Solanum lycopersicum: one gene and its partners. Each later gene encodes a partner of the first gene's protein in a complex. Links are inferred from orthologs where the notes say so. Each region holds a gene or a part of one and is shown in the gene's direction. Other genes may lie near its edges. The genes, in order: large ribosomal subunit protein uL15c, large ribosomal subunit protein bL28c, large ribosomal subunit protein uL24c, large ribosomal subunit protein uL5c, large ribosomal subunit protein bL31c, large ribosomal subunit protein uL10c and large ribosomal subunit protein uL4c.

Region 1 (4,074 bases):
TAAAAAGAGATGGAGGTTTGTGTGATTGTCAAATTTGTGTGTATATATATATATATATATATATATATAAAATAGAATACTTATATACATAGATATTTGTATTATAATATTAACACTCGTTGAAAATGGTGATTTACAAATACAAATATATCTGGATACATAAGTAATTTATCCAATTTACAAGATTGATTAGGCAATACAAGTACAATTGGATACATTAATACTATATTTTTATAAATACCTAAGTTAACACCAAGCTTCATGTATTACAGGATCACTTACCAAAAAGAGATTGGCAATTGTTATTTATCAATTTTTTATACAGGCGAATTCTTATATACTTTGATACCGACACATTCTATTATTTTCTATTTTTTTGTTTCTACGTTGTCCAATTTATCCATCTTTGATTTAGTAACACAATGTATTCATATGTATACTATATTGCATTCATTTTTTGAACAACAATAATGTATTCATTTTTCAAATAGCCGTGTTCATATGCTAATTGTCATACTTTAACTTGTTTGATATATATATTGATACATTAAATTCTTACAAAAACTTGTATCATTGATATATATATATATATATATATATATATATATATATATATACACTTTACGTTTTATAAATATAGATACTAATTTGAATTCAAAGTATTCATATACTAACTGTACACAATTAATACATTTTCCTTATTTAGTTTGTTGTAATTAAACTTGTATTACTGTATAAATAGAAAAATAATAATATTTAAAGAATTAATACAGCTAGAAAAAGATATAAATTGTATTCATTTTTTATAAATAACATACTTGTAGCTATTGAACTTTGATAAATCCTATAAATGTAGTCATTTTTATAATTTGCTGATTAATGAATGTATACAGAAATTTGGGCGGAGTAAGACAGGATTAAGGAGATTCTTTTAAATTTTCTTAAGCAGAACATTATAAGAGTAATCCTCATCGGAGTATAGCATGACGAAAGAGGAAGAAAAGAAAGATTACTATCTAAAAAAGAAGTTGACGAATTACTAATAACCCTCGTATAGAATTTATCAATGACTAAGTAATCAAACATGTTAGTAATTAATATGACTTGTAGCGAGCGTTTAGATCTCTCTTTCTTAATCATATGTTTCAAATTCAATCCCATAAATGAAAAAAATCAGTTAGGAAAGTCCCCTCTAAAAATGTGCCCAGTCGTGTGTGAATTCAAATTTTATTTAAGCCTATTACTAATATCAAACATCATGTTGGAAGCAAAAAAGACCACGATCCTCAAAATGAAGTGTAATACACACATATCGAATTAAATATCGAACACCTGATAATAGACTCGTAAACTAATTTAAAAAGTAGAAAAGAAAGTCCCTGAAATAACCACCCCTATCCGTTAAAATTTGTCAAAACACTTTTTGCTTGGACAGTGAACACAATCCTGAGTTCTCCCTTATCAACAATGGCGTCTCTACTCTCCATCTCCTCTGCATCACCTACAAGAACAAATTCAATCATTACCCAGTTTTCTTCATCATTCAAGGTACAATTTCTCCTCTTTAATTTTTCAATTTCTGTCAAAATTATACAATTCTCATTTATCCCCATCAATTTTTTTCAGGGTAATGTAAGTAATTTGAAGTCAAGTTCGAAGCTTTTGCCTTTAATAAAGGTCTGCAATTTGAAATCTAAGTCAATAACAAGAACCCCATTTGTTGTTTTCAACCAAACTGCAAGTTTTGGTGCTGATTCTGCAACTGGGAGTGTTCGTTTTCGGCTTAATAACTTGGGTCCTCAACCTGGGGCTACCAAGAATAGGAAGAGGAAAGGTAGAGGGCATTCAGCTGGACAAGGGGGTAGTTGTGGTTTTGGTATGAGAGGTCAAAAATCAAGGTCTGGACCTGGAGTTAGAAAGGGGTTTGAAGGGGGTCAAATGCCTCTCTATAGGAGACTTCCTAAGTTGAGAGGAATTGCTGGAGGTAATTTGTTAACATTGCTTCAACATAATTATATTATCACAGGGGTCGTTTGGTACAAGGGATAAGAGATAATAATCTCGGGATAAAATGTTGGATTGCCTTTGGTTAGGGGTATTAGTTAGTCCCTGAATATCTATCTTGTCATTTTTATAAGATAATGATAGGATAAGTTATCTCATATATATATGGCGGGATAACTAATTCCTCGGGATATACTAATCAATGGGATAACTTTGTCTATCTCATCCCTAGTACCAAATGACCCCTTAGTTTGAGTTGGATTTTGTTTTTCCTTGTTTTGTTGTTTGTTTCTGTGTCCATCTGCAGTGTTATAGTTTACCATTTAAAAGTCTATGGATAAGTGTTATAAAATTTATAGCTTTAACTTGACTATGTGTTCTTTTTTATATTTGTGTTCGGGGCACCTTGCATGCAGTAGTGTTGTCAAAGCTGTGCATAAGCGAGGTTCAAAATGTGTTGAGCGCTTTGTCTTGCTTAATGTGCTCTTCAGGGTCGTCATCAAGTTTCTTAGGCATTCTTTTGAGTCTCTTTAGGCAACACTAAACAATTGATATTTCACTTAATAGTAAAAAAAATAATTTCTTTGTTCATATATTTGTCATTCATGCTTACAATTATTATTCTTAGACTAAACAAACATATGTATTTGTATTTCTCCCTTTGCTCCTTTTTATATTAAAGATCATGCTTTATTCACGTTTTATGCTTAGTCCCAATGGTCCTCAGAGTTTTTTTGATTTGATAACACTGTCATGTACTTAATTCCACGGGTACCTGCTTCTTCCTGCCAACACTTGTGTTGGATATTCCTTTGCTACTTCATTCCTCAACTAATGGAATACAAACTCTTTTTTCTGCCCTGCCTGGTGTCATCCATCTCCAAATAGTAAATGCGCTGCTGAGCGGATAACTCTATCCAGAAAGGCTTGGATAAATGAATATTGAACAGGAGACATTATGGTTCTCAACCAACTCCATTAACAACTACGCCACTCACTTGGGTGCACTGTGTGTATCTTTGTTTACAAGCATGTTTGTTTTTCTTTTGGTTGTGTCATTGCAGAGGCAGATTTTCATAGGATGATAAAAAGTCTTATCTGCATCTGGTGGACATATGTGTATGCATACTCAAACTGTACTGATGATTAATCTAAAGAAATTTATTACAAATGATCAATATATTGCACTAAGAAATAAAGCTATGCATAGTTATATGACATCAAGGCAAATATCTTGAAATTCTTATTTTCTTATTTGCAATATTCTGAAATCCTCAACATTTTTATCTTCCTCTATAATCCGAAGACTGTTACCCCCTTATTTAAACTAAAAGGAAAGCCTTGATCGATATGAGAGAAATGTGCTCAAGCATCCAACCAGGTGTAACGTCTGTCAAGAAGTTTCTTACTGCAAAATGAACATTCTAGGAGCTCTCACTCGAACAAATGCTCCTTATGCCATCATAAACCGAATCAGCGGATATAAAATCTGTCCTTTCCTAACCTTCCCCTAGCAGGAAACTTATTTTAAAAGGAGGAGGATTTGGAAAGTTCATACTAAGGAGGTAAAAAGGCCCTCGAGTCAAAGGGCTATTCTTCCTTTGATTTGAAGAGAATGTCAGTGCCTTGACTCTCTAGTCTCAGTGTGGCTCTTGAGTAGTCTTCACTTTCCCTTATGCATGGCGTTTGATTAAGTATTTTCTTCAATGTCAAGTTGTTGGTATTACTAAGATGATTCATAACTGTCCTTTATTTTTGGCGTAACTTGTATCCATTCGCATTATATAATGCTGAACCTTGATACTCACACCTAGAGTTGTGTGTCAAAAAATAAGTTCTTACTTTTCTTAGGCCTTTCATACTGATTAGGCCTTGCCATGTCTAATTTTTATAACTTTGACTATTTTAGGCTATTCTAACTTAATAACTGAAGTAATTGATAGTGCTCTTTGTAAAACCTCCAATCTCGTCTTTTAATTTGTTTCATTATGTGTTTTGTTGATTTAGTTAAGGATTTCCCTCAAGTCAGGCTAATCTGTCAAAAGCAATTATCTACTACATGTTTACCAC
Region 2 (4,094 bases), on another chromosome or scaffold:
CTCTACCAGATGACAGTAGTGTCTCTGCTCAAGAGACAATCTTCCAAGAAAATCTCGAGGTTACCCGTACTGGTATGGTTTCAGAAAGGAAAGATGAAAATGCTAATCCCAGTCCACTGGAGCATCTTGAGATAAACAATGACTCACCAGTTAAGGAAGCAATTAAGTCAGAGGAAGACAATGGAAATGTAGACGATAGACCTTCTGAACCAGAATTCTCATCGAAAGAAGAGTTGGATGCTCCAGAGGAACTTGAGAAAAAGGAAGAAATCCCTATTACTGAAGTGTTTGATCCGGGCTGTGTACTTGTGGAGTTTAGAAGAGCAGAAGCTGCATGCACGGCTGCTCATTGTCTACATGGACGACTGTTTGACGACCGAATAGTGACTGTGGAGTATGTTCCCCTTGATCTCTATCAGACAAAGTTTGCTAAACAAAACTAATTTCTTTTGGCCCATTCAAAACCTTATGCAGATCTCCCCAAACTTGAACGACGTTAACATAGGATTTCACAATGCTTAACTGAATGTTTGTTTGCAATTTTTACCATTATTGAGATGCCTTGGTGTTAACCCTTTTGTTAGTGCGAGAGTCGTACCCGATTTGAAGCGGAATACATGTTTTCTCCCAGATGTAGAATGGGATGAAGGAATGAGCCATTGTATTATGTCATCTAAAAATTATGAACTTTGTTTTTAAGTTGCAACAGTTTACCTACTACTTACAATATACAGGAGCACAATCTTATGGCTTCTTGAAATCTTTTATTTACCTTCTTATTATTTTGCCTTAATGTCTTGTGCTTGTAGTTCTAAATGATGTTGGTCACTGACTCAGTTGGACAGTTGATGGGATAACAGATTTTAGGGGTTGTTTGGTTAGAGAGATAAGGACATTCATAACATAGTGTGATTGATTTGAAGATAGTAGAGACGTTCAATATTATAATGATTTGATTTTGGTCTATTTGTTTGGTTTATCATAAGTGGAACCTGAAGAGGGAGAAAACGCTTAATATTATAATGATTTGATTTTGGTATAGGCTTAATAATGATTTGATTTTGGTATAGGCTTAATACTCTCTTTGTTTGGTTTGTGATATTAGACTTCCACGTGAGTAAGTAATGGAAATAAGATTAAAGCATAAACTAAGATAACACAAGTAATGCAAATAAAATTAAAGCATAACTATGATAACATATTACTTCCAAATAAGTTAGATTTTGTTATTTATTTATTCTTTTATTTAAATCGTTTGATATTATTAGACTAAAGGAAAAAATAAGTTAAATATATAATAACAATAAAAAAAAATATGAAGGCCAACAAATAAAATCATTACCCACATCCATTTCGTTATCCACTCTTCACTTCCTTCTTCAAAAAAAAAAGCAACATTCTTGAGACAAAAAAGATTCTTGCTTTGAGGAATTGGTTGCAAAAATGGCGACAATCACAGCGGGTATAAGCCTCAGAGGACCAGTAGTGGGTGGTTACAGGACATTTGCAGTGACCAAAAGGGCTTTACCCAAGGTGAAATTCAGCTCAGAGTTGAGTTTTGTGACTTCTCAATTGAGTGGCATCAAGATTTCAAGCACCCATTTGAGCTCTCCTGCTTCACTTTCTGTTCCTTTCAAGACAGCCCTTCAACCTGTTGCTCGTAATTTCTCTACCCTTTTGTTGTGTTCTCTGTGTTTTTAGTTGTTGGGGTTGTTTCTTTTTTGGTCTAGTAATATGCACATGAACTGTTTGTTGTTTTGTTTGTTTCAGTGAATTGTTGGGTTTTAACAATATTGTGAATTGTGTGTAAGAAATTGTGCTTGTGGGGAGGCAGTAGGTAACCTTAGAATTAGTCGAGGTGTGCGCATACTGGCCATACACCACAATTGTCAAAAGGAAATTGTATCTGATAATTTGAAGTTTAGTTAAGTACTTGTTACTTAGGGTAATGGTTGTTGAAGTATGTGCAAACTGACCCCGACATTACCATTATTTAAAATAAAAAAAGAGTCTTGGTGCAATTGCAAGGTTGCTCCTTTGCTGACCTGAAGGTTACGAGTTCGAGGGGCGGAAATATTAACTTTGTAGACCTATTGATGGTAGAGGTGACATTTCAGCTTTCTGAATTTCAATTAATTGGATCACATGCAAAGGGATACTGTATGGTATACACCTTCGGTCCCTCTACCCATGAAGTAGGGATAGTAAGTTCTTCTTGAACATTGATGGGGAAAAAGGAAAGATGATAACTTTCAAATGTTAATACGATGAATCATCATTTTGGTGCAGGTAGCCTTTTTATTTGTGTGTGTGTGGAGTGGCCGTACTCAAAGGGTCACAGGACCGAAATCATCATGAGTGTTACTCAGATAATTGCTCATTCCATACCTGAGACCCCATTTAGTAGTCGGGTGTCTAGAATTCAGATATGTGCTTTGTGTTGATAGCACATTACGTTAGATTGTTTAGTACCAAGTGAAAGTTAGTATTGCTGATATGGGATGAAAATTATCCCTTACAATGTGGAGGATCTGAAGACATAGCCAAAGTTGGAAAAAGTTTGATTCAGTTGCAATTTGCAAACTAAATATATTGTTTTCTTGAAATCTGTGGTATGGTAAGCTGAGCACTTGACATTAATCACATATTATTAAGTTACATATGATAATCAATGATTAAAAACCATATTATAGTTTACTATCTAAACAACTTCTTATATAACTTCAAGAGGAGAGATTAAAGGGGTGTCATCATTCCAGGGGTTTAAAAGTCTGTCTACAGTCGCAAGAAATAGGGATAGGACAACCTCACCATGTGCAAAATTAACAAACTGGGAAGAGCTTGATGGACTACAGCATATTGATTAAAGGGAGCTGCCGCGTTAACTGCATTAATAACAACAAGATCAATAAAATACGGTATATAGTTTGGAAGTTTGTCCATAGTTGTCTTCATATACTGAATGATCCCTAATTTTTCCTCCTTGGCTCTTTGTTCTCTGACTTAAGGATTGCCGATATTTAAGGCATAACAGATTGTCCAAGTGAAGAATTATAAATTATTTCATGATAAATTTCTTATATAGATGGTATCAACAGTTTTTTGGTTAACAAAGTTTGCATTCCTTTGCTGCAATTCATAGACAAAGCTGCAAAAGAAATACTATATGCATGAGAAGATATTATAATTCTTGTCGAGGCCTTTTAGGTCTCATTAAAAACTGACTGCAGCCTAAAGGGAGCTTCATTTTCTTGCTTTCACCTCTCTTGATAATGAGCAGGATTTCCATCTGCCTATTCTTCTCTCCATGAAACTTGCAGCCTAATAGTGAAATAAAAGCTTTATGAGATTCAAAGCTTATGAAAGTAGATTTCTCGCTATCAAGAATATGTAAATCCATTTACCTCTCAAATTCACCTTCTGCATTTTTTAATATTTATTTACCCACCTGTGTCCTTATTACAAGTGACCAAACTAGTTAAAAAGAAGACGAAACCAATAATGAGAGGCTGAGAGAGTGTGTTAGCTGCAGATTTGGAAGGAAAAATCTACAGAACTTGAATCTTCGGTGTGTTCGCCCCTCTGGTGTACATTATATTTTGAATATGATGATAACAGCTTGGTTTAATTCGTTCTCATTGTATGACAACAAATTGTAAAGGGTTGACTTACCTTTTGTGAAATCCAGTAATGGCAGAGTATTTGGCTTTTAGATCACTGATGAAGCTTTAGTTTACTAATCAGAAAGCACATTATGAGAGTCATTAGGAGCACTATATCACTGACACTCTTGCTTGCTTTGACTCCCTTTCTAAGTTGCTGCATTTGTCAAACTGCATCCTGAATTCCTTTGTTTTTTTAGTCCAAAACTACTTAAAGCCTTTGAGCTAATAGGTAAAATAAAACAAATTAGGGACAAGAGTAATCAAATATTCCCAGTGAAGCATCCTTTGCCTTACATCATCATGATCTTTCCTTTCCCCCCCTGCTTTCCTGCATTTTTGTCGGTTGTGCTCGAATATCTTGGCGCCTCTTTATGATAAGTAGCGTATAGAATATTAAGAGAATACATTCTGTTTTTTCAGGTAGAGTAT
Region 3 (3,995 bases), on another chromosome or scaffold:
TGAATCGTGCTGCCAAGAAACGGCCTTCCATGAGGGACACTGTGCAGGTTCTGTCAAGGATACTCAAGTCTAGACACGAAAGAAAACGCCAGAAGCGATCTTTATCTGCAACAGCAGAGGAGATTACCATCAATGTTGAACAAGTAGATCATCGGAATCCAATCTCTGGACATCGACGTGTTGAATCTATAGATAGCACAGCTGACTCGTATGAAGTTTAACTCAGTTCTTCCATTTGTTTATTTTTTTGTTTCATCTTGTAAAATTGGTCAGGTTGTTAGGTTTCTTATTTACAAAAACACACTTTTGTCTTGGTGAGTTCGTTTGGGATACTTAGGGGTATGTTATAGTCTGAGTGTATGATAGCCTTTGTTCCCAATTTTGTTCTAAGTTTTTGTAAATTTGCGTGGAAGGTTAATGAATGGTAGAAAACGGGGAAAATCCCAGATCAGGCTTTTCCACTTCTTCTACATTAGTATCCTATTCAATCTAATTTTATTAAAAAAGAACCAAGCTTTTTTTATTTTTTAATCCCCCGATACTTTTTTTCAATATATTTATTTGTTCAATTCGTCTTTTATATGTTTTGTCAACCTATAAAACATTAAAACTTGATCATTTTTCCCTTCTTAAATTAGGGCAAATTGATACTTTACAAATTTATAATTACAAAAAATCTTCAAAACGGATACAATAATACAAGCGTTGATACATTAATCTAATGCGCGAGATGCAATAATTTAATGTATGAGATACACTAATCTGATGCGTGAGGTACATTTTATATATGATACACTAATCTGATGCGCGAGGTACATTTTATACATGATACACTAATCTGATGCGCGAGGTACATGATACACTAATCTGATGCGCGAGATATACTAATCTGGTGCGCGAGGTACATTTTATACATGATACACTATATGATGCTCGAGATACATTAATCTAATGTGCGAGATACATTTTTATACATGATACACTAATCTGATGCGCGGGATACAATAATATGATTCGCGATAGAAATTGATGTGATGCATGAAAATTGTGAAATTTTAGAAATTTGTAAAACTTATAAGGGATAATGATAATAATTAAACTAAAAGGTGAGATTTTCGTAATTAATCCACAATCCCGAAATAGCTGAAAAGGGACTTTATAATTGGGCCGTACTCGACCCGTTGAAGGTCCAATTAAGTTGGATCGGGTGTCCAGGGATAGAGAGAGAAGAAGACGAAGGTTCTGGTTTTTATTATCCTATCCAAATACTCAGCTCAGTGTTGTTTCTTCCTTCAACAAAAGGATTTTGCAGAAGGTTTTGAACAATGGCGGCTCTGCAGAGCTCCTTTACTGGTCTCTCCATCTCCTCCACCTCCTTCTTCGGCCAACGCTTCTCTCCTCCTCTCTCCCTTCCTCTGGTATGCTTTCTCATAACTTCAACTATCTGGTTTTCAAACTGAACTATCTCAAATGTTAATTGTTTTGTTTCTACAACTGTATCATTCGGTCCAGCTTGCTCACAACTCGACTAATTACGTAGAATACCTGCTACCTCTAGCCAGAATTGAATTGTGTTGCAAGTAACTTTCTCCATCCAGTCTTACATAAATGCGAAGAAATAAACTAGTGTATTGTGATTTGAACCAATAAATCGTAGTTGTTCACCACTGCATTGACCACTAGGCTATATCCTATCTGTTTATCTCAATTTCAATTGTCTTTGTGAAAGGTCTTTGTTTGAATAATTTGATTTCTATGTATTAGGGATCATAGGAACAAAGGTATCCATTTCCATTGTACTATTGATTATAAATTAATTTTATATTATTTGATTACAATATATTGTGAACTTTTTCTCTGCTTGGTCACCATTGCTACCTGAGTCCTTTCTCATATCATATGTTTTTTCGCTATTATAAGTTTTGACTGCGTGTTTGGTACGAAGGAAAATGTTTACCTAGAAAACAAATGTGGAACTTACTAATTTTCTAGTGTTTATATGGTAACTAAGCTAGATAATATTATTCCAAGAGCATTTATATGTTATATATCCAACAAAATACTATGGAGGCGAGATGGGATGGGGAGTGGGGATTCGGGGATGGACGGACGTGATATGGTCAAGAAGTGGGAGTTGGAGGGATTGGGTGATGATAACTTGAAATGCTACTTATCCATCTTGTTTTTCTTACTTCCACTACGGAAGTCATTTTCTTTATTTTGAACTTGAACTTGTTTTCCTAAAGAAAATATTTTCGTAACACAGGAAAGTTGGAACTACATACCAAACACAGTGTATTTCTAGCTGCAAGAGAATAATTTTATATATAAAGACATCTACAATTTGATACAGTAGTTCCTCAAAAGTTCTTCAAAAAGTCAAGTATATTAAGAATATGCTAATTGGTTAACTTAAACTTACCCCCTCTGTTGTGATTGATGTCTTCCAAGTTCTAACATAGGATGAACCCTGTATTTGACTTAAGGTTCGAAATTTTAATATTTGGACATATTTATCAATTTTTTAATACATATATAGGGTCTGAGTTAAAGCTACTGGGTGCTGCTGAACCCATATTATACATATGCCTCTGTGTTCCTCGATAATAAATCGTTCTCATATTATAGTTACCTGTATAATCAGAAGTTATTGGAAGCAAATATGGAATAAGATCTGTCTCCAGAAAATGCACTTGCTTGTTATTCGGTTAACACTTTTTGGATGTATATCACGCCTTACGCAGTTTGTCACTTTTTATTGTGTCAACTGTAAAACTGGATAATCTTTTGCCACTTTAATGACAATCTCCATATAATGCCGTGCAGGTTAAATCAGCAGAAGGTCCATGTTTGATTACAGCAAAGGTTGGTATCTTGATCCATTTTGGTCCTTTAGTATATTGTCCGAGATAGACATTTCCGGCAACTACTTTTATAGGGTTGCTGTTAATGTGGTCATGCATTTCTTTTATAACTTATGATGTAATGAAGGAAGTGCTCGAACTAACTTGTCAACAGCTTTTAAAAATGGCCACCAAATGTTTGTATTGCTAAACCTTTGGTACTAATTTTTATGGGTATGATATTCTTTTAGCTGAAACAACAGTTAATGAGAATTGTGATTAGAATTAGCTTTATCATTGAATAAGAGCTTCTTTTTATGTCTATTTTGCAGCTTAAGCGATGGGAGCGTAAAGAATGTAAGCCAAACAGCCTTCCAGTACTACACAAAATGCATGTAAGGCTGGGTGATACTGTAAAGGTAATCTCCGGCCATGACAAAGGTAAAATTGGAGAGATTACCGAGATCATCAAGCACAACAGCAAAATAGTAGTAAAAGAGGTGAACTTGAAAACCAAGCATGTGAAGAGTCGGAGTGAGGAGGAACCAGGCCAGATAGTCAAGGTTTTATCTCGATTTCTTTCTTCTCTATCTTGCCTAAAAATTGTTATCTTGAGATTTCATTTCGTCGTGGCTAGCATCGAATTCATCTTTGCCCTAACAAGAAAGTAAAACTTTGTGTTAAGATTTTAGATTGAACTTCCCCAAGTTGTTTGGATTGAGACGTAGTTGTTGTTATTGTTTCAGATTGAAGCTCCTATTCACAGCTCAAACGTGATGCTTTATTCAAAAGAGCAGAAGGTAGCCAGTCGGGTTGGTCACAAAACTTTAGACAATGGAAAAAGAGTCCGGTACCTCATTAAAACTGGGGAAATCATCGATAGTGCAGAGAACTGGAAGAAAGCAGTCAAAGAGAAGGGGAAAACAACAGAAGCAGTAGCTGCTGCTTCCTAGGAGATCCACTGGTCTGTAAATTCTAGTTCGATTTTGCTAATTTTGAATCTTCTCTCATTGATATATTATGATTCTGTTGTCACCTTCACCTTTTTAACTCAGTAACATAAGATTTTATATTAAAGTACATTTACTCAAAAATTCTGTTTGCCAGTACTATTACGTACTAGAGTTTGATGGTTAATGGGTCGAATACAAT
Region 4 (3,318 bases), on another chromosome or scaffold:
CTGGCTAAATAATAAAGATTAGGTTTATTTAATGAAATGGGCCACTACGACGTTAAATTTTCAAAAAATTATCCAGCCCACAAACCAATTTAGACTTGGGCCTACCTCATTCCAGTCTAATAGACCCCAATATTTTCTTGGTAAAAATTTTTGTTGGGCCAATAAAATTTGATATAGTAAATTTCATATATAACAAATACAAAATTTATATTTGTATGATATAGCAAAGTTTGTATACTTGCGCTCGGTGACAAATATAAATATGCATAATTCCCTATATACATATACAAAGAAAGCAGTTGTATAATTCACTATACATATACAAAAGAAAGCAGTTGTATACAAAAGATAAATTGTATAATCTGCCATTTGTGTATGTATAAAACGAGAAAAAGAGAAAGACAAAAGAAAACTGAGCAGGAGAATATTTGTTTTGTATAATTACAAGTGTATAGGACGAAGATATATGTATTTACATGTGTATATACAATTTTCTCTCGCTTTATACAAACAGAAATGCAATTTATACATTTCGTTTCTGTTTGAATAAGCGAGAGAGGCGAGGGAGATTCGGGAGAGTGGTGAGTGAGATTTGAGATAGGTGAACAAAACTATATGTATCTATACAATTTTCTCTCACTTTATACAAACGCAAACACATTTTATACAATTGTGTTTGTATAAAAAACGAGAGAGGTGAGTGAGACTGTCACAAAACGAGAGTGGCGAGCGAGATTCCACCAGGGAGAGTGGCGGAAATAGCAATAGTTTGCTATAGGGTACAATTAAATCAAAGTATATTTATAACATTTAATTTAAATTAACAGTTTGCTATTATATACAATTTTCCTGATTTGATACGATCTTCATTCAATAATTTTTAGCCCAAAACTTAAGCTAACATTTAACCATAAATTTCATCATATGTTTGGCTTAATTTTTGGAAACATATTTCACTTTTTTTAAGAAATGTATACTAATAAGTTTTAAAAGTTATCAAAACTAACTATAAGTTTGTATTGCATAACAAAATAGAATAAAAAGATTCACTATCGTAACAATTAGTGTCCATGTCACTGAAGCAATATGGTAATTCAGAGATAGTGCAACAAGCATCATTGCATACATTATGAAGTAGACGAAACATATTGTTCGTCACTTTTATCAATAATCATATCGTCATTTTCTTATTTACTGAATATTACATCATTATTTTGATGTTCACGTAAAAAATTTTACTTGAAAAATCTATGGCGAAATGGATCCGAATTTTTTTTACTTAAACATTCACAAATTAAAATTTAGTAGAGAGAACTCTGTTATATCCACAAAGAACATCTTATCCAATTACCCTTTTATTTTTCACACACAGAGAGAAAAAGCTCAGAGAAAATGGCGGCTTCTCCTCTTCTTCTACACTCCACGGCCTCCTCTTTCTACAATGCTGAGTTTCCGGCGTACTCCGTTCGATTGCCGGTCGGAAATACCAAGGTCCGGTCGTCCAATAAATTGACGGTGAAAGCTTCAGCAACAGTACTAGTGGATAAAAGTGAAGCTGAAAAAGTTAATCGTCTGAAAACAAATTACCTCGAAAAGATTGTGCCGTTGTTGAAGGAAGAATTCAGTTACACCAATATTCTTCAGGTAAACTTAGGAGTCGTTTGTCCATTGCATTTTTTTTCCAGAACAGATAAAAATTAGGGCTTGGGAAAGGGAAAATGGGGGAATTGAACAAATTTTTCAGTTTTTAAAAAAGCTTAGTGCAGGTTCAAACACAAATTCAATTTTCAATTATACTTTTCAAGTTAATTTCAATTTCAAAGCATATGTACTTCTTTAGCTTCAAATTTTACAACTTATATCTACAAATTTGAACTGTTTCTTGTTTGTTTGATTAAATGTTGAATTTTAGAGTTGAAATGCTGAGAAATTAGTTTGTTTGACACTATTATCATTTGAGGAGTGAGAAATCACAGTGAATATTAGTTGCATTGACCTATTGCTTCAAACTCTATTATTATTTTTTAGTTTTAATTTGATTTGATACGGAATGTGGAAAAACCGTGTTTTAGGTTCCGAAGGTCGAAAAGATTGTGGTAAATTGTGGTATAGGAGATGCTGCACAAAATTCCAAGGGTTTGGATGCAGCAATGAATGATTTGGCCTTAATTACAGGGCAAAGGCCTGTGAAGACTAGGGCTAAGAATGCTATTGCTACTTTCAAAATTAGAGAAGGTCAACCGCTTGGAATTGCTGTTACACTTCGAGGGAATGTAATGTATTCGTTCCTTGACCGGTTAATTAATTTGGGGCTTCCTCGAACGAGGGACTTTCAAGGCGTAAACCCCAATAGCTTTGATGGTCATGGAAATTATAGCATTGGCTTTCGTGAACAGAGTGTCTTCCCAGAGTTAAGTTATGATGCTCTTGGTAAGCCAAGAGGGATGGATGTTTGCATAACAACAACAGCTGAGACAGATAAAGAGGCACACAGATTGTTGGCTCTCATGGGTATGCCATTTAGAGAAGGTTCTGGTGGACAGACAACTTTTACGAAAAAGAAAAAGCTTAGAGCTCACCATTTTGACTCGAAGGCGAAGCAAAGGTCTAGGAGATGAGGTGGATCCAATCTCCAGGGATAATGAGTTGATTTGTTGTTTTTTAACTGTTTTGTGGTTTATCAGTTGTTTTTGGCGTACAATTTGAATAGAAAAATCTGTAATTGCACTTTTACCATCTGGCTGGTGATGTCTCGAATATATGTTATTTACGTTTTCTTCCTCTAAAAAAAAAAAAATAAGAATTGTTTTTATCTCTAGTTAAGTTTTTACTATTCATGAATCTTGATTACTGTAATTTGTATGTTATTAAATATTTCCTACCCGCTCCCTTTTCTCGTCTGCCATTTACTTTGATTTCAGGCAAAGAGTTTCTCTTGTTAGCTCCACCATATTCACATTTAGGTGAGTTAACATCTCTGCTTTTATCTTTTATCGTATGTGATAAGGAGTATTTGCGGGCGATATCTTATTTACGTTTTCTAAATTTGTCCTAATGCTTAACACTTGATGTGTGTGAGGCTGTGGAGTCCCATACTTATTTCTACTCCCTGATCCCCCACCTTTCTCCTTTCTTCCTCTAAGGTTTATTTATATTCGCATATTAGAAAGTCACAGTTATTTATAGTATATACCATGTTGCTGAATCTTTATTCCCTTGGCTTCATTTTATTCTGCTCAAATTGTACAGAGTTTTTTCTTTCAAAGTGTGTATGAATGTGCTTTTTAGTGGTTTCAGGTTCTATGTCATTTGATTTGG
Region 5 (2,582 bases), on another chromosome or scaffold:
AGATGGATATGAGATTATATTGAGTGAAAGTTCATCTGTTTCTGATATTATTATTCAGCAATCTAAAAGGCTTAATAAGATTAGAAAAATGTATGCAAGGTTGAAGAATATAGAGAAGTGGAAGAAAGCAAGGAAATTAAAGGATTAATCATGAGAATTAGAGAGATTTAATTTATGTTAGAGATGAATTAATTTAAGTTAGCAAGAAGTTAGATAATGTTTTTTTTTTTTTTTTTTTGGTAATGTACTGCTCGACATGTTGTATGTCAGAGGAAGTATTCTAGTAGTGATTTATTATGCCTTAAAAAAAACATCGATTGTATCGATGTATCTAGTGTAATTTCATATGATTTTATTTTATGAAATTGAAGAGTTTATTTTTGATAAATTAAGATATTTCAAAGCATATTAAAAAAGAAATATAATAGTAAAGAAATTATTTTTTTTTAAAAAAAAAGATTAATGAATCAATACAACGTGTGGGATAACAAAAATTGAAAGTAGGACAAGATAAATAACTTGGATTTGCTTATGGCGGTAAGCACAACATCACTTCTGTTTATTCAAACACTTTATTCTTATCAAAGATTATAATCGAACTAAGTTATTATCAATCATGCCTGGTTGAATTAATCTTTCAATAATATGTAAAAAAAAAAACAAAAAACTATTTGGTAAACTCTAGATACAAAGGAAAAAGGAGGATATTTGATTTATAAATTGGCCAATTTGTGTTACACGTCTCGGAGAGGAGAGACCGATAGTATTAAATTCAATGGTCAAGAAGTCGTAATTGACACTCTATACATGGTGGGTGATATGAGTATAAATATAAATAATCTACAGATAATATTTTATTAGCATTATTTCTCCAGATGGTTAAGACTTGGAACTTTTAAGTTAGAGGTCTTAAGTTCAAAATCACTTGCCAGCGAAAGTAAATTCTGGGTTGAGCTCATCGCACCGAATTTGCCTAATGCAGATTATTTCTCCTATGTGATTTGCGAACTAACGTATAGGAGCGGGAGTTTTACCATGTGCCCACCCAAAAACAGCGATTACTTAAAAATAAAATAATAAAAATACTTTTGAGATTAGTCAAACCTTTTTTCTACTAGGGTAAATGATATTTTTACAACAAACAAGTTTTTCTTAAAAAAATATGCAATACTTATGCAAGAAATCAAATTAGTAATAACGAATCAATAACTAATCCCAAACAACCCTAACGAGTTTAATCCATTTTTGAAAGAGTATTTACATAAATGGGCCTTACCTACTCCTTGGGCTTCAAGTAATAGCCCAAAAGTAACATCATACAAAACTAGCCCAAGTAGAGCCCAATCAAATATACAGCCCAATATCCTCAGATAAGCAATCTAATCTTCAACCCGTTCCTCTTTTTCTCCATCTCTCATTCTTCTTCTGCAAAAATACCAACAATGGCGCTCACTCTCTCCAACACTTTCCTTCAAAAAAATGTCGCTCCTCCTTCATTCTCCTCCAAGAAGGTAACTCCCCAAAATCTCCATACCCATAACTTTTTTTTTTTTTTTTTAAAAAGTATATGATTGTTGAAAAATTGAATTTTGCAGATGGGAATTGGGAGCAATCAAATGCGATGGAGCTGCAGGAAGAAGGATATACATCCGCAATTCTACGATGACGCTAAGGTATATTGTAATGGAGAGCATGTGATGACAACTGGGGGAACAAAGAATGAGTACACAGTTGATGTTTGGTCAGGTAATCATCCTTTTTATCAAGGTAGTCGTTCACAGCTACTTCTTGATGCTGACCAGGTAGAGAAATTCAGGAAGAAGTTTAGTGGGTTAACACAGATTATGCAAATTCCAACTCTCAAAGGAGAGATTGTGCTTCCTCCTAAGAAGAAGAAACCTACTAAGAAGAAGTAGACTTTATTGTGTGTTTGTAATTCCCTTAGTTCGTTTCGTAAATGGGGAAATTGTTGGAGAATTAGGGGTTTTGTGTATTTTGTGTTTGTATTTTGATGGTTTCAGTTGTGAACTCAGTCTATTATTTGAAAATGGAAGTATAAAAATTCAGTCTTTGTTCTTCAAATTTTTGGATTTGCTGTTGTTGTTATATGGTTCATCAATTAGTTGGGCTGGTAGAGCATTTAAGTTGAATCCAGTGAATTGTCTTGCTTTCGATTGCCATTATTGCTTCGACTATTGGAATGTAATGAGCCTAATAGAGCTGAATGGATACAAAAAAATTGTGTTAACTTAAAACAGTTTGGATCAGGTGTAGTTCATTGATCATAGTTTACGTTCAATAGTTTCAAATGAGTTGTCTTTCACCCCTTTACCTGATAAACTGAACGAAACTTGTCCGTTTTGCACTATCTTGGTGTAATGTTATACCTGTGATTGGAAAGGCTGATTGTTTCAGGGTTTCAGCCGTCCCTTGAATCCTTGACAAAGTAAAGATGAAATAAAGTCTGTTATAGATTTGGTGTCTTGTCTTTTGTATGGTTGCATTAGCCAAGCGTTCTAATGTTAGTTGTACTGGTGCTGTGGTGCACTTCCATTCTTGCAGTTTACTGTGTAAAATGCTTT
Region 6 (2,644 bases), on another chromosome or scaffold:
TTATTTTATTTTTTTCTTCAAATCATATTCATGATATTTCTCAAAAAGTAATTATAGATTATTTTTTTTGTTCATTACCGATTATTAATACTTATCTCAAATAAAAATCATAAATCATTGAAAGATTTACTTTTGCTTATTTTATTAATAATTAAACTAAAAATTGAATATACATGTGATTATGCCCCTTAAAACTATGAGACTTACGTCTTGTGTCTCAGGACATACGCCTCACCATATACTATGTAAAAGATTTCACCTCACGCTCTGTCTTTACTATACAGATACAATCTATTCAAATATTATATTTATTAAAATAATATAATATAATATAATTGAAGCAAAGTCTAGGACCTGAGCAGAGAAAATAACAAAAATATCACTTGTGATTTTGATTACATTCAGAAATAATTTTTGAATATTCTTGACTCTTTAAATTTATTTTAAGCCAGCATTTTTAATTGATAAACTTGTAGATACAGATATACATACTTGAAAAAGGATTGACGAGGTGTAGAAGGAATAATATTGAATATGGTGAATTTTAGTAGTAAATAATTTAATTATTATTAATATTTGTATGAGTTATATTTGATAGGAGTATTATTTTATATTTAATATTTGATTTGACGTAAAGAAAATAATCTGTATTACATCAATTTTGAACAAAATTCTTTATTTATATAAGTATCTTTCACAAATATAGTAAAATGATGTTAAAAGAGTTTTGAAGAGCAATAGTGATTTTATTATGCTAATGCATGAATATTTTTTTTTACTAATATCCACATAATTCCATATCTTATATACACCTTAATGCCAAATACATCATATAATATTTGCATTGATTATACTTAATGCGACTCTACTATGAAATTCAAACAAAATTAATAAAATATTTTAATATAGAAGAAAAATTGATATGATTATTATATTATTTTTTTAAAAAAAAATTAATAAAGCATCTGAAAATAATGATAATATATATTTAAAATAACTGATCGAATCATAATTAATATCTTTAAATATAAGATAAAATAATTTTACATTTTATGAAATTATTATCTTTTATATATCATATCAAATCATCTCAAGAATTTTGTTAATAATAATAATAAAAATATATCTAACATAATTTTATAAATTAAAGACGATAAAATATATGTAAATATTACACCTATTTTGCCTTTTTTAACTTCTTTAATGGTTTGTTTGGTATGACATAAATATTTTCAAAAACATAAAGTTTATGAAATACCCCTAAATTCTATCTTAGCACAAAAGATAAGGCAATCCAATTCTCAAGCTATCATCAATGGAGGCTGCTCTCTTCAGCTTACCTTCCTCTTCCTCTCACTCTTACCCATTTTCCGTGAAATCCCACTTCAACAATCCCTTCATAATCCCCCATTCCAGTTCTCACCTCAAACTCAAACCCAGAACTCTAACTATTCGTTCAGCCATTAGCAGAACCAAGAAAGAAGAAACAGTCGAAACAGTGAAGCAACAGCTTGAAGATTGTTATCTCTTAGCTGGAATCAGTTACAAGGGGTTAACAGTTAAGCAATTTCAAGATCTTAGGGCTCAACTCCCAGAAACAACAAAGCTTCTTGTTGCTAAGAACACATTGGTACTTAAAGCAATTGAAGGGACAAAATGGGAAGCATTGAAACCATGTATGAAGGGAATGAATGCTTGGTTATTTGTTCATAGTGAAGAAATCCCAGCTGCTTTGAAACCTTATAGGACTTTTCTAAGGGAGAAGAAATTGGAAGATAATGATTTTACTGGTGGGGTTTTTGAAGGGAAGTTTTATGGGCCTGATGAGTTTAAGGTGCTTGAGAATTTGCCTACAAGAGCTGAGATTTATTCACAGCTTCTTGGGTCTTTGAAAGGACCTGCTTCAGCTGTTGTTGGGACTATTCAAGCTCCAGCAAGGAATTTGGTTATGGTTCTTAAGGCTTATGTAAAGAAATTGGAGGAGGAAGAAGGTGGAAGTCAATAATTTTTGTTGTAATTCTTGGATATGGTAAGCTAATACTATTGTCTATTTGGATCAATATTTGAAATTTTTCTGAGAGATGGAATTTTGTAAATTTTATGTTTTTGGTAGAATGAATTTATCCTTGGCCAATTGTTCTAAATTTGTGTCCTCGTATTTGGCGGATAATTATCTGGATTACTTCATAACTGTTTGAGAGGATTTATGTTATGTGAAATGTACTATTCTGCTCTTTCCATTATCACTGAACCAAGAAAATAGTCTGTATTCCTGCTTCAGCTCACTATATTTGTCAAATATTAAAAGGGCAGCTCGGTGCACTAAGATCTTGCTATTTGCTGAGTTTGGGCTTTGGTAGTAGTCTGGAGGAAGTGTGTAGCTTTATTCTTGCAGTTTCTTGCTATTGTTATATGTTGATCGCACTATATTGTTGACGTTATTGTTTCTTGCATGTATCCTCTGCAGTGCTTTCCTATTACTAGTTCTCATGTTTTCCTTATTGTCGTTTTCCCTTTTTGTTAGTACTTTCATTTACTTCACTTGAACTGAGGGTCTTTTGGAAACAACCTTTGTACCTCCACTAGGTAGAGGTAGGGTTTGCGTACACTCTACCTTCCCCAGACTCCACTTTTTGGGATTTCT
Region 7 (3,414 bases), on another chromosome or scaffold:
AAAGTAGAGAATTCAACTAATTTGTCTTGTGATGATCTTGGTGAACTTGAATATTGTTGGATTGATTCAGACATGGATTCTTCAACTCCTAGTGATGATGATGATATGAATATTTGGTTCAAGGATTGTTACTATGATCAAAATGGAGTTGAAGATTTCACTAACTTTGTTGGTGCATGTAGGGAGTTTTCTTGGGAAGAATCTTGTGAATCTATGCTTTATGCGCCTGATGTCTGATATTCATATTGGAGCTCAACTAATCTGGATTCACATTAGTACTGAGGGATTCATTGTTTCCTCGTAAAGGTGACTTTGTACTTTGAAAGATTCAAATCTGAAATCTCTAATTAAGGATGAAGGAGTACTTATAGATAGTCATTGAGATAGGAGTATTGATTAAGACGTTTTTCATGGCAATTGTAAATCCCATATTAGTATAAATTCTTTTTACTAAAGACCTATGAACTTTCTGTTGCTTTTAATTCAATGTGGAATAAGCATAGCTTACCTAATTTTAGGATGTAAGCTGCAGAACCTATTTTTATGGTACATTTGAAATTATTAGTTCAAAATTTAATTGAGTTTGTTAAGTTTCAACATAAGTGGAACGAGGAGAAATTGATTTCTTTATATACTCTTGAACAATCATATCTCCTCGATTTATCTTTTGAATTGAGTTAAATCTAATATGGTATTGAAGTTACGTCCATCTCACTTCATTATCATTTAATATTAGGTCTCCATTTTATATTGCTTACATTCATGATATCTGACCATGAACGTGCAAAGGAGCGTTGAGTCTTAAATTGATTGATAAGCATAAATAATCTTGAACAATTATTTCCTCTTGAGCTAGCTACGATGTTACAGTTAGATTAGATTCAAGGTTTGTTTTCTTAACCGAATTCAACATACGAGTTGGGCTTAGCGTATCATGGAAAAATTGGAAAGGGAAGGCAATATGTAGCAGGCTGCATCAATAGCGCCTCAAAATAAAAGAAAATGAAGGTTTTGGGCTTATGATGGTGTAGCCCCAACTAACAAAAGACTTGATCAAGAAAATTGTATAACTTTTATATTATATCAAAATTAATAAAAATAAAGAGCACATTTCATAAAAATTTTATTTGTCGCTTACGCTCTAAAAAATTTATTTTTTTTCCTACACAAAAGAAGATTTAATTATGTTCTTAAAGTATTGTAAATTAAATAGACATGCCCTTCAACTCTTCGTCAATAGTTTGGCTTATATATGACCTTATCATTTTGAATGTGTTATTAGTCTAAATGAAACATTTGATTAACCTCATTTGTTGATTCATAAGTGAAAAAATTATCAAATATACTCTGACAACGATAAGCATAGAAAGAATAGAATATTTGTAGACCTTATCACTATCTCGTAAAGCTAGAGAGTCTGTTACGTCGTAAAGTTGAAGAGTTCATTGGCGCAAAAGGATCGGTCCTTCACTTGCTGATCGTTCGCAAGTCGAACTCGCTCTCTTGCCACGCCTTTCACTCACTCGCTTGAGACGGACTCAATCACTCTTTGAGTTTGGAGGATTCACTCTCTTGTTATTACCCGCAGGGAGCGCATGTTTCCGCAAATATGTCCCTAAATTTATCAAATATGTGCTCAATTTCAAATACTTTGAGGGTATATATGACTTTTCCATTTTCACTAAATTTATTTGAACAAAGAATATGAATACATTTTGATATCCTTCTTCCTCATTTGTGGATAACCCAATCCATAGGCTTGCAGTTTGCTCCTTCACTGCAAAAATGGCTACTTCTTCTTCTTTATCTTTCTTTTCTTCCACCATTTTCTTCTCTAACTCCAACACCCTTCACTCCTCAAAGCAGCAGCAGCAGAAACAACTCATTTTCAAACCCAAACAACAACAATTCTCCATCCGTTCAGAGGCCGCCGCCGCCACTATTCCAATTCTGTCCTTTGATGGTACCGAAGTGGGCTCCACCACTCTCAACTTAAAATCCGCCCCTCTTGATACCGCACGCGCCGTCGTTCATCGTGGGCTTACCACTGACCTGCGCAACCAACGTCGCGGTACTGCTTCCACCCTTACCCGAGCCCAAGTACGGGGTGGTGGTATCAAACCATACCCACAAAAGAAAACGGGTCGAGCTCGACGTGGGTCGAACCGAACTCCTTTACGACCAGGTGGTGGGGTTGTGTTTGGGCCGAAACCTAAGGATTGGTCAGTTAAGATTAACAAAAAGGAAAAGAGACTCGCGATTTCTACTGCGCTTTCGAGTGCTACACAGAATGCCATTGTTGTGGAAGAGTTTGATGATAAGTTTGAGAAACCGAAGACTAAGGAGTTCATTGATTTGATGAGAAGATGGGGATTGGACCCAAAAGAGAAATCTTTGTTTTTGATGACGGAAGTTTCAGACAATGTGATTCTCTCCAGCAGAAACATTAGCACATTGAAGATGTTGACACCCAGAACTTTGAATCTTTTCGACATATTGGATTCTGAGAAGCTGGTTTTCACTAAATCAGCTGTGGAGTTCTTGAATGAACGATACGGAAATGATGATGATGATGATGATGACTGGGAGGTGGTGGACGAGGAAGAAGAAGATGGTTAGTTTTTGCTTCATTTTGGGTATGAAGTTTCCTTTCAATTTTAGCTAACTCGTTAATTTGCTGCATTCAGGTGGCGAGGTGGAGGAGAGTGCTGAAAGTTCTGAGTAATATATGAACATGGGGCGAAAAGGGTCTGTTCCATTTTAGAGGAGGCTTTACCTTACAGGGAGCTTAGTATATTTCACTTTGAATTGTATTTTATTGTATGATAAAACTAGGTGATTTTGGTTGATTTCATGTCACTGACTGCATTTGTCCATTACCTTCGTTGGAATAGTTTACTCTTGATTTTCGTTCCGCTCTCATTACCACTTTGAGTTCTTGATTTTTATGATAAGAGTGATTAGTTACTTTACTAATTAAGTCTTGTGTTCTGGCAAAACTACATTAATTGCTTAGTAGATGAAGCTTTATATAAGATTTATGGGTTACAAGTTGTCAGCCAGGCGAGATTCAGCAAAGTAAAATGATTAGGAAAGCTTTGTGTTTGAGTCTTAGGCTTGAAGCAATTAAGCAAAGTTAAGAAAAGGAAACCTTTATTTGGGTGGAAAAAGCTTCATCACCTTTTTCTTTAATACAAACACAAAGTAATTGGCAGGAAAAAATGCTCTTTACTTTGTTTTGAGTCATTGGGGGCATATGGGATGCTAAGCATTATTAACCTTGAAACAGACCATATCTAGTAGACTATCTATGGAGGCAGATAACTTGGACATTTGTACTATCAAAATATGTGATGGAGAGTATATGAGTATCTCTAGGCTTTTACTAGAACTTTTGAGTTTAAGCGCTAATTG

The links.
Region 2: large ribosomal subunit protein uL15c (region 1) and large ribosomal subunit protein bL28c share a complex: the UniProt entries of both Arabidopsis thaliana proteins name them as parts of the 50S ribosomal subunit. The link is inferred for Solanum lycopersicum from reciprocal best matches to the Arabidopsis thaliana genes RPL15 and PRPL28.
Region 3: large ribosomal subunit protein uL15c (region 1) and large ribosomal subunit protein uL24c share a complex: the UniProt entries of both Arabidopsis thaliana proteins name them as parts of the 50S ribosomal subunit. The link is inferred for Solanum lycopersicum from reciprocal best matches to the Arabidopsis thaliana genes RPL15 and RPL24.
Region 4: large ribosomal subunit protein uL15c (region 1) and large ribosomal subunit protein uL5c share a complex: the UniProt entries of both Arabidopsis thaliana proteins name them as parts of the 50S ribosomal subunit. The link is inferred for Solanum lycopersicum from reciprocal best matches to the Arabidopsis thaliana genes RPL15 and AT4G01310.
Region 5: large ribosomal subunit protein uL15c (region 1) and large ribosomal subunit protein bL31c share a complex: the UniProt entries of both Arabidopsis thaliana proteins name them as parts of the 50S ribosomal subunit. The link is inferred for Solanum lycopersicum from reciprocal best matches to the Arabidopsis thaliana genes RPL15 and emb2184.
Region 6: large ribosomal subunit protein uL15c (region 1) and large ribosomal subunit protein uL10c share a complex: the UniProt entries of both Arabidopsis thaliana proteins name them as parts of the 50S ribosomal subunit. The link is inferred for Solanum lycopersicum from reciprocal best matches to the Arabidopsis thaliana genes RPL15 and EMB3136.
Region 7: large ribosomal subunit protein uL15c (region 1) and large ribosomal subunit protein uL4c share a complex: the UniProt entries of both Arabidopsis thaliana proteins name them as parts of the 50S ribosomal subunit. The link is inferred for Solanum lycopersicum from reciprocal best matches to the Arabidopsis thaliana genes RPL15 and RPL4.

The regions. Positions count from the first base shown.
Region 1 is NC_090804.1:3,795,317-3,799,390, reverse strand, and holds the start of large ribosomal subunit protein uL15c, read left to right. Parts: upstream 1-1,274; 5' UTR 1,275-1,467; coding exon 1,468-1,548; intron 1,549-1,626; coding exon 1,627-1,984; intron 1,985-4,074.
Region 2 is NC_090808.1:67,409,465-67,413,558, reverse strand, and holds the start of large ribosomal subunit protein bL28c, read left to right. Parts: upstream 1-1,294; 5' UTR 1,295-1,443; coding exon 1,444-1,660; intron 1,661-4,085; coding exon 4,086-4,094. Other genes in the region: uncharacterized protein, read left to right, coding at 1-443.
Region 3 is NC_090806.1:68,736,520-68,740,514, forward strand, and holds large ribosomal subunit protein uL24c, read left to right. Parts: upstream 1-1,195; 5' UTR 1,196-1,325; coding exon 1,326-1,418; intron 1,419-2,826; coding exon 2,827-2,865; intron 2,866-3,175; coding exon 3,176-3,406; intron 3,407-3,589; coding exon 3,590-3,796; 3' UTR 3,797-3,937; downstream 3,938-3,995. Other genes in the region: calcium/calmodulin-regulated receptor-like kinase, read left to right, coding at 1-221. UniProt on the Arabidopsis thaliana protein: One of two assembly initiator proteins, it binds directly to the 5'-end of the 23S rRNA, where it nucleates assembly of the 50S subunit. Required for optimal plastid performance in terms of photosynthesis and growth.
Region 4 is NC_090808.1:1,642,870-1,646,187, forward strand, and holds large ribosomal subunit protein uL5c, read left to right. Parts: upstream 1-1,223; 5' UTR 1,224-1,392; coding exon 1,393-1,644; intron 1,645-2,072; coding exon 2,073-2,618; 3' UTR 2,619-2,818; downstream 2,819-3,318. UniProt on the Arabidopsis thaliana protein: Binds 5S rRNA, forms part of the central protuberance of the 50S subunit.
Region 5 is NC_090803.1:66,609,362-66,611,943, forward strand, and holds large ribosomal subunit protein bL31c, read left to right. Parts: upstream 1-1,292; 5' UTR 1,293-1,442; coding exon 1,443-1,511; intron 1,512-1,595; coding exon 1,596-1,916; 3' UTR 1,917-2,082; downstream 2,083-2,582. Other genes in the region: mannan endo-1,4-beta-mannosidase 7-like, read left to right, coding at 1-148. UniProt on the Arabidopsis thaliana protein: Binds the 23S rRNA.
Region 6 is NC_090803.1:3,526,186-3,528,829, forward strand, and holds large ribosomal subunit protein uL10c, read left to right. Parts: upstream 1-1,211; 5' UTR 1,212-1,315; coding exon 1,316-2,005; 3' UTR 2,006-2,144; downstream 2,145-2,644. UniProt on the Arabidopsis thaliana protein: This protein binds directly to 23S ribosomal RNA.
Region 7 is NC_090806.1:67,227,853-67,231,266, forward strand, and holds large ribosomal subunit protein uL4c, read left to right. Parts: upstream 1-1,294; 5' UTR 1,295-1,785; coding exon 1,786-2,614; intron 2,615-2,687; coding exon 2,688-2,725; 3' UTR 2,726-2,914; downstream 2,915-3,414. UniProt on the Arabidopsis thaliana protein: This protein binds directly and specifically to 23S rRNA. May play a role in plastid transcriptional regulation.